Linked DNA regions of Alligator mississippiensis. The protein of the gene in region 2 binds, or shares a complex with, the protein of the main gene of each other region. Links are inferred from orthologs where the notes say so. Each region holds a gene or a part of one and is shown on either strand. Other genes may lie near its edges.

Region 1 (3,900 bases), on a different chromosome or scaffold from region 2:
TCCTAAAATATGAATACTGAAACAAGGTAAGTTTAAAAAAAGGATTAAAGACACTATTTTGAATGTGTAGAAGAAATATCTCCAGTACTATAGCAAAGCCCCTTGGCAAAGATGGAGTTTATTATGTTTCCAAAACAAAGTAATTTTTAAATAAACTATGGGATGCAACAGTTTTAGACACACACCCCACCCTTCCACTCCCCCACACCTGCAAGCATTACATTTTAAAAAGCTGTTCAAAGTTACATTTTTAGAATGGATTTTAACACAATGCTGATTTTTTTAGAGGGCCACTGTCCTGTGGTTTTATAAAAGTCACCTTTCCACCTTAGCATGGTAATTTAAACTTCTGTAACAGCTCTGTTTACATTAAATATCTCCATGCATGGTTTGCTGCAATATTTTAACAGCACTGTACTTTAGAAAGATGAGTTACATATGGCGTAAGGCTAAATTGGCAAGATGGCTTGGATGACCTAATATGATTTCCCCCGAGTTGTTATTTTACAACCACAAACTGAAGTCTTGGAAAATAACTGTTATCCACTATGTAAGCCAGTAACAAGCAGAATGTCATAAGTTGAAAGTAAAAAAAAAAAAAAAAAAAAAGTGACTGATCTAATTTATCTGAGCTGAGAAGACAAGGAACTCCCCCCACCCCATTTTTTTTTTTTTTTTTAAAGAGATTTATTTGGACTGTAACCGCTTAATACCGATTTTAAGGAGTTAACTGTGTGCACTAGTTTTTTTTCCCATAAGCTTATTTTCAAAAATCTAAGAGCGGAAGGAATATTCTCCCTTTTCCTTCTTCTTTTAAAAGATTCATGTTTTAGCACATTTCTTTGTGCAACTGACTACACAGAAACTGCAAAGCACTGGTCAGCTGACAGTAACTTCATGTTTACTCTGCCATCCCAGTTGAAGAAAGCTGGTGCTGTCTACTTCCGTTTGTCTATGACGTGCCAATCGACCCTGCCTGCTACGCTGGAAGAGCTCAGAGAAGTAGGAGCAAGCCCACAGCCAGGTGTTAAAAGCCAGCCAGTTTAACAAAACAGGCTATTTGCTTTTAGTCAAGAGGACGTGGCCTTGATGCCCAAGCAGCAGCAGCAGAGGTGTTTCTCATGCTACTATTGTCTGAGTTCAGCCTGCACCAGCGTCGCCAGCTGCCCTGCACCAAGATGGCTGCCCGCACCCAGCGTACCCCCCCGGCTTCTCCTTTCCAACACCAAGATCCCCCTTCTCCCACGGTGAGCGCCGAGCCCAGACCTGCCCTGCCCCGGGGGACACTCAGCAACACACTTTCTGGCTGTTCACTTTTTCCCCCTTCTTTCCACCGGGTTCAGAGTGGAAAACACGTCCGGGCCTGAGCCGGCCGGGTGCAGAGGAGGCCCTGCCAGCTGCCCCCTGCAAAGGGGAGGGGGGGTAAAAAAAAAACCCCTTACAAACACCTGGGCAGACTCCAGGCCTCATCCCACCCACCCTAGGATTTGAAAGGAAGGGGGGAGGGGGGGGGGAAATCAGGCCATTTTAGAGGCTCCCTTAAGTGCCTGAGCAGGCTCCAGCACTCCCCCCACCTGCCCTATGGTTTGGGGGGGGGTCAAGGCCATCTTAGGGGGTCCCCTTAAGTGTCTGAGCAGGCTCCAGGGCTCATCCCACCCACCCTATAATTTTGGGGGGGTTAATGTTGTTTTAAGGCACCCCTTAAATGCCTGGGCAGGCTCCAGGGCTCATCCTGCCCACCCTACCATTTGGAGGAATTAACACCATCTTAGGGCCCCCCACCCTGCAATTTGGGGAGGGGGGCTACACCATTTTAGAGTCCCCTTAAGTGCCTGAGCAGGCTCCAGCACTCGCTCCACCCCCCAATGATTGGGGGGGGGGGTTAAATCCGTTTTAGGGACCCCCTTAAATGCCTGGGCAGACTCCAGGCCTCACCTCGCCCACCCTATAATTGGGGAGGGGGGGGGGTTAAAGCCATTTTAGAGCTCCCTCCCACCCTATGATTTGGGGGGGTCTAGGATATTTTAGGGGCCCGGGCAGGCTCCATGCCGAGGCCCAGGGAAGCCCGCGGGGTGCGGGGGGGGCAGGCCCGGCCAGGCCCGGGCGCGGCGGCGGTACCTGAGGATGTTGTGCGCCTCCATGCTGCGGTTCTGGTTGCTGGAGCAGACCACGGCGACACGGAGCGGCGAGGAGGGCATGGCGGCGCGGGGAGAGGCCCGGCTCCGTCCGCTCCGTCCCGCAGCGCTCGGGCCCGTCCGGCTCCGCCTGGTGCTCGCACAAAATGGCGGCCGCGGCCCCTCGGCGGGCGTCACCCGCCCCGCACCAGCGAGAGCGCGACGTAGAGCGGACGCCGGCGAGGACCGTCGAGAGCGGAGCGCAGGAGAGAGCGCCGCCCGGGGGTAAGTCCTCCAGCCATAGAGATTGGAGGAAGCGAAGAGAGTCCGCCTCGGCGCTGAGAGCGAGCGCCGCCCTAGTGGCGGAGGGTGGGGAGGTCCTGTGCTTCGCACGTGGCTCAGGGGAAGGGGCTAGAGCTGGGGACCGCAGGGTCGAATCCCAGGGGAGGCAACAGGGCGTTTGCTCCATTTCAGCCTGGCCTTTAAGGGCCTTGGGACCCTATCTGAGCTTCTGCAAACTGGAAGGGGGAGGGTGTCACATGCACCACTGGCCCTACATAGCTGCCTCAGCAGCAGATCTCAACCTCCTCTGTACCAGGACCCATTTGTGACCAGCACTGGCTAAGGCTTACACCTTAAATAAGAAAAAAAACCTGAACATTTTCATTCTGTGACAAAAATAGACATATATATATGGCTCTACAATTATTATTCATATCAAGTTCATCCATTTGTGCAGAAATAATAATAATTCATCTTAAAATGTCATTAAAACCCATTTTCATGGATTATTTTTATCGTATGGGGCCTCTTAAGATGGACATGTCATAACCCAGCATGGCTTCTGGCCCGCTGCCCCTTGTGTGTGGGGCAGGGGTGGGTGTGTGGATCGGGGGAGCCCCCAAGCAGCCCCTCCCAGGCAGGATCTCTGCCAGCCTGCAAGAGAAAAGCCGCGGTTCCCCACCTTTTTCTCTTTTAAAATGTTCATGACCCTTTCATATATTCTCGCGACCCACTTTTGGGTCGTGACCCACGGGTTGAGAAACGCTGCCCTATTGAAGTGGCATCCTTCGGGAGCAGAGGCCTGGTGCTGCATCTCGCGGGGGATTTACAGTGGCCCCCCTGAACCAGGAGCATCAGACCTCTCTGCGCAGGTGCAGGCGACTGCACAAAGCACAGGTCACCTGCGGGGAGTTAATTCCCTCCTTGGCCGCAGCCGTCATTGCAGTAGGTGACTTGATCTCCTGTATTGTAATGGATGACTCCCAAAGTCATCAGGCGCCTTTGCAAGACACACACGCAGGCTGCACGTATTGCCCATTTCTTCTCTTTTATTCCATCACCATCGCCCAGAGAAATTAGACTTTCTGCCCTCAGCACTTCAATACAATTCTCAATGGCCCTTCTTTTCTGGCCTCTTAAAAGCACTTTCTGTGGACCACAGGGGGTCCAAATTCCCCGTATTCCCCGGCAGTGACCCACATTGACACGAAGGAGGCCAGATAACTGATAATGGAGGCACCCATCCATGCAGAGCATCTCCTGTGAGGAGTTGCTACAATCCTAACAGGAACTCCTTTAGGGGCTTGCTGCTCTATCTCTTTAAAGACCCTCTCATCTAGTCCCTGGAGAAGGGACGAGCCCCCGGTCAGCACCACATTCCCATAGAGATGGCGGCAAATATCCTGATCACACTTCTTAATGCTGTTGGAAATCATGGTGTGAATCCCCGGTGTATCAATGCCAAGGGTGATGGGCATGAAAAGGATTTCTGGTGCTCTGCAAA
Region 2 (3,900 bases):
GGTTGGCGATGAGCTTCAGCAGCAGCTCAATGTCACGCTTGCTGAGGGGTGGCAGGTTGGGGGGGTGGGGGGGGAGGCGTCAGTGCCTACAACTGCCCTCCTGCAGGTAGCAGGGTGAGCCTGGACCTCAGGAAAAACTTGGGCAGTGTCCGAGCAGGGAGGCAGGGGACAGGCGCCAGGACAGGAGGGACACTCAGTCACTGCAGGGCTTTGTGGGGGGGGCAGCTGCTGGTGTGGGGTGATCCAGGCAGAGTGATGCCCATGCTCTGCTCTGGGGATGTCCCAGGCTTCTGGGCTCTGCTGATTGTTGCAAGGGGCTGGGAGGGCACTTAACCCCCTTCCTGTTGTTGCTCTAGGTGTCACGGGGTTTTTAAGCCCCCCCACCCGGAGGTGCTGGGTGCAGGGCTGGGGACTGGGCTGTGCCAATGTTCCTGCCGGCACCATCCCCACAGGGTCCTGGCTGGAGAGTCTTGCCCCTGCACTCAGGCTCAGCCCCACGCTGCACTGGGGCAGGAAGAGATTACCCTCCTGCTCAGACCAGTTCGCACTGGGGGTTTTTGCCTTCCCCTGAAGCAGGGGCACAGCCTCGACCTCGGCTCTGTAGCATCCATGACCCCCTGGAGGCAGCAGGATGTTGGCAGCCACAGCCCCTCCTGCTTTCCTGAGGTCAGGGGTGGGGGTGAGGTCCATGCTGACGGCTGTGTTGCTCCGAGGTCCGATGCTGGGTTTGTCTGGGCTGGCTTGGACGGGGCTGATCCTGCCTCAGACCAGGGCTTGGACTAAATGTGACCTCAGGGGGGTTCCATCCACCCCCAGTGCTCTAGGATTAACCAGCCTCACAGCAGCTTCCCCCTAGACCCCTGGGACTTGGATGGAAACTGAGGCATGTGGTGCTTGAAGGCTGAGGCTGAGCCAGGAATCCAGGCTCCCAAGCCACCTGCTCTCTCCCCAGACATGTCCCTAGCCCCCTGCCCTCACTGCCCATGCAGAGCTGGGGTCTTAGCAGCACCTCCCCTCCTCCACCTCCACTGCCGTCACTAACGAGCATGCCAACCTCCAAGCCCAGACTGCTAGCTTCCTGGCTGAATTCCCAGGGGAATCGCAGCCTGGGTCCCCCAGTCCAGTGCCACTCGTCCCTTACCAAGCCTCCTCGATGAAGCCCACGACGAACTTGCGCACCTCCACGGACTTGTCAGCCTGGAAGGCGATGATCTCCTGCGCGGGGGGGAGGGTGCAGGGGGGGGCTGTTGGTGGCACGCGGGGGGGTGCCCAGAGCTGCCCAGCAGGGCCGCACCATGTGGGGGAGAGGGGGCAAAGGGCCGAGCTGCCAGCTCTGTGCTGGGCAGACACCCCACAACCCCGGGACAGTTGCAGGGCAGACTGGCGATAGCTGGACCCCCGTGGTACCCCCCGCAAACACACAGCGGTGATGGGGCCATGGGGCATGGACACGCCAGGCTCCTCAGGCCTGCCCAGGGTGCCTGGCGACTCACGTCCAGGAAGTTGTCCAGCAATGTGGGGTCCTTGTTGATGATGAGCTCCTGGACCTGTAGGGAGGGGGATGGGGACAGGGACAGTGGGGGGCGTTATACAGCCAGCTGGGGCAGGCACCAGTGCCACCCACTCCCCCACTGCACACGGGTCTGCCATGATGGGCTGGGGCCTTCCAGTCCGGGAGAAGGCCTAGGACTAGAGCCAAGGAAGGGGGGGGCATCTTCAGGAGAAGGAATACGAGACCCCCCTCACCCCCAGGTTGAGACCCCGGGCTCTTGTCCCCCAGGCCGGGGCGGCTCTCCACACACCTGCTTGAGGATGCTGATCTTGGAGTCATTGCCAATGAGGGCGGCCTGGTTCAGCAGATCCACGACCTGCCAGGGACAGGGGCAGGTGAGTCCCGGGCACCCAGAAGCCCTCCTGCCACCTCAAAGCTGGGGGCTTGCACACCCACCCCGCCCTCGCCTGGGGGAATGACCCTGCGCCTCCCCCGTCGTGGGTGCTGGCAGCAGCAGAACAGCAAGGGCTCCACGCAGCACCGTGCACGGGCACGTAGACACCGGGCCCTGACACCACGTGTCCTGCACCCCTGTGGCCGGGCAGGAAGGGGGGCAGACTGCACGCGTGCCCAGGTCCCCCAGGTCGGGGGGCCGACTGTCGCCCACACGGGCTGCCGCAGTCCCACGCTGCCGGGGATCGTATCGGAGCCCACGGGAGCGGGCCCGGCGCACCCGGAGCTGCCCGTGCGTAGGCCGGGAGTCCGGCTGGCTGGCACAGGCCCCCGGCAGAGCAGGCCGCGGGGCCCAGCCGCAGGCGTCAGGGAGGCACCGAGCCGGAGCCGGAGCCCGCGGCCGCGCACCCGCTCCGAGGTGGTGGTGCTGTCGATGCCGCTGCCCTCCTCCTGCGTGAAGAACTGCGAGGCCACGCTCATGCGGGCCGTGGCACCGTCCCCAGAGCTGCTGGTGCTGGCCATGGCGCGGGGCTGGCCCTGCGAGCCTCTCAGCTGAAGCTGCTAATGAACCAAACCAATTAGTGCCTGGCCCTTGCCCCGAGACCCCGCGCCCGCGGTGGAGCCCAGGCCTGACCCCCCAAGGCCCCCCTCCCCCAACCCGGGGCTGCCCCTGCCCCCACTATGCCCCCAACCCCAGCCCAGCCCCCCACTCCACACTCTCGCCCCCCAGGCCGCAGCCCCCTGCCCCTGCCCCTGCCCCCACCTCCACCTCACGCGCCCTCGCGCCCAGCGCCGCCTCCCGCCGCCATCTTCCGGCCCGGCCCACACACACTGCGCAGGCGCGCGCCGCGCTGCCTCCTGGGAAATGTAGTCTTCCCGCTCGCTCCTTTGCCCCGCCGCGCTGCATGCTGGGATCCGTCATCCGCGGAACTGCGGGGTCACGGAGGTGCCCTTTGACCCCCGTCTTCCCCTGCCGCGATTGGCTTGGACACCCTCCCCCCACTTTGATGCGTTCTCACCCTAGCCTTGACCCCTGACCCCAGTGCCTCTCCTGCCGCCAGCCCCTCCGGTGGCACACGTAGACTCCTGCACATCCCCCGCCCCGTGACACACGAGCCCCTCCCGTGGCACACGCACAATCACGCACACGTGTGCACCCCCCCACGCAGGGTGGGATTTCATGGCTGGCACACGCGTGCACTCGGGTGTAGACACGTCTGCTGGACGCACTCCCGCGCACGCCCCCTCCCTGGCAGCCCTCGCCCCAGCGCCGCGTTGTCTCCAGGCCTTGGCCCTCGGCTGCTCCCGCCGGCGGCAAACACAGCTGTCATGTCCCGGCTCCGGGCAAAGTCCACGCCTGGCGTCTGCTGGGGCACAGTGGGGGAAAGGTGCCTCCCGCCCCCCGGGGCCTGGGGCCGCCCCAGGGCTGGGGGCGCGGCTCCCCAACCCACCGCGAGCGCCGCCCACCACAGGGGAAGGGGGCCCGGGCACCCGGGTCCCCCCGCGGCCGCGAGAGGGGTGATGTCGAGAGCCCGGACGCCCGGGTTCTGTGAGCGGCACCGCCGCAGGGTCCTGTGGGACCGAGAGGCCTCTCGCCCCGTGCCTCAGTTTCCCCTTTCTGTGGCCTGTGTGGGCGGGGTCGGTGTAAGCTTGGCCCAGGTGGGGGCACCCTCACCTTGTGCTGGGAGAGGGGGAGCAGGCCCCAGACTGCCCTGCCCCAGGGCGGAGCAAGCAGGCAGGAGCTGGGGGGGGTGGGGAGGTGCAGCTGTATCAGTGAGGCCCTTGCAGCTAAGTGAATGAAGGCGTGCCAGGTGTGCGAATGTGCGCACAAGTGTGCGGGGAGGTACAAATGATGGGACACAGGGACTGGGGTGCAAAGCATGCGTGGGCACAGGCATGCAAAGCAAGAAGGGGTGTGCAAAGGTGTTCAAGGATGCAAAAGTGTGAGTGTGCAC

The links.
Region 1: the proteins of SYMPK (region 2) and SSU72 are in contact, whole or in part, in a crystal structure (PDB 4H3K), measured with the Homo sapiens proteins. The link is inferred for Alligator mississippiensis from reciprocal best matches to the Homo sapiens genes SYMPK and SSU72. Residues at the interface, in NP_004810.2 of Homo sapiens: Val123, Lys127, Leu131, Gln135, Asp175, Asn176, Asp177, Gly178, Thr181, His182, Lys185, Glu188, Pro204, Arg205, Arg206, Gln207, Ser250, Ile251, Thr254, Thr255, Asn262, Ala290, Ser292, Gln293, Ser295, Ser296, Lys299, Asn300, Leu303, His304; in NP_054907.1 of Homo sapiens: Glu113, Tyr116, Asp117, Val120, Asn124, Glu127, Gln128, Glu129, Thr130, Cys131, Gln132, Pro133, His135, Asp167, Glu169, Asn170, Asp173, Gln177, Glu180, Thr186, Phe187, Leu188, His189, Thr190, Val191, Phe193.

Annotation. Positions count from the first base shown.
Region 1 is NC_081836.1:7,424,316-7,428,215, reverse strand, and holds the start of SSU72 (RNA polymerase II subunit A C-terminal domain phosphatase SSU72), read right to left. Parts: upstream 2,310-3,900; 5' UTR 2,199-2,309; coding exon 2,119-2,198; intron 1-2,118. Other genes in the region: actin-related protein T2, read right to left, coding at 3,533-3,900. UniProt on the Homo sapiens protein: Protein phosphatase that catalyzes the dephosphorylation of the C-terminal domain of RNA polymerase II. Plays a role in RNA processing and termination. Plays a role in pre-mRNA polyadenylation via its interaction with SYMPK.
Region 2 is NC_081838.1:442,835-446,734, forward strand, and holds the start of SYMPK (symplekin), read right to left. Parts: upstream 2,883-3,900; 5' UTR 2,868-2,882; coding exon 2,709-2,867; intron 2,507-2,708; coding exon 2,354-2,506; intron 1,869-2,353; coding exon 1,803-1,868; intron 1,548-1,802; coding exon 1,494-1,547; intron 1,216-1,493; coding exon 1,142-1,215; intron 42-1,141; coding exon 1-41. UniProt on the Homo sapiens protein: Scaffold protein that functions as a component of a multimolecular complex involved in histone mRNA 3'-end processing. Specific component of the tight junction (TJ) plaque, but might not be an exclusively junctional component. May have a house-keeping rule.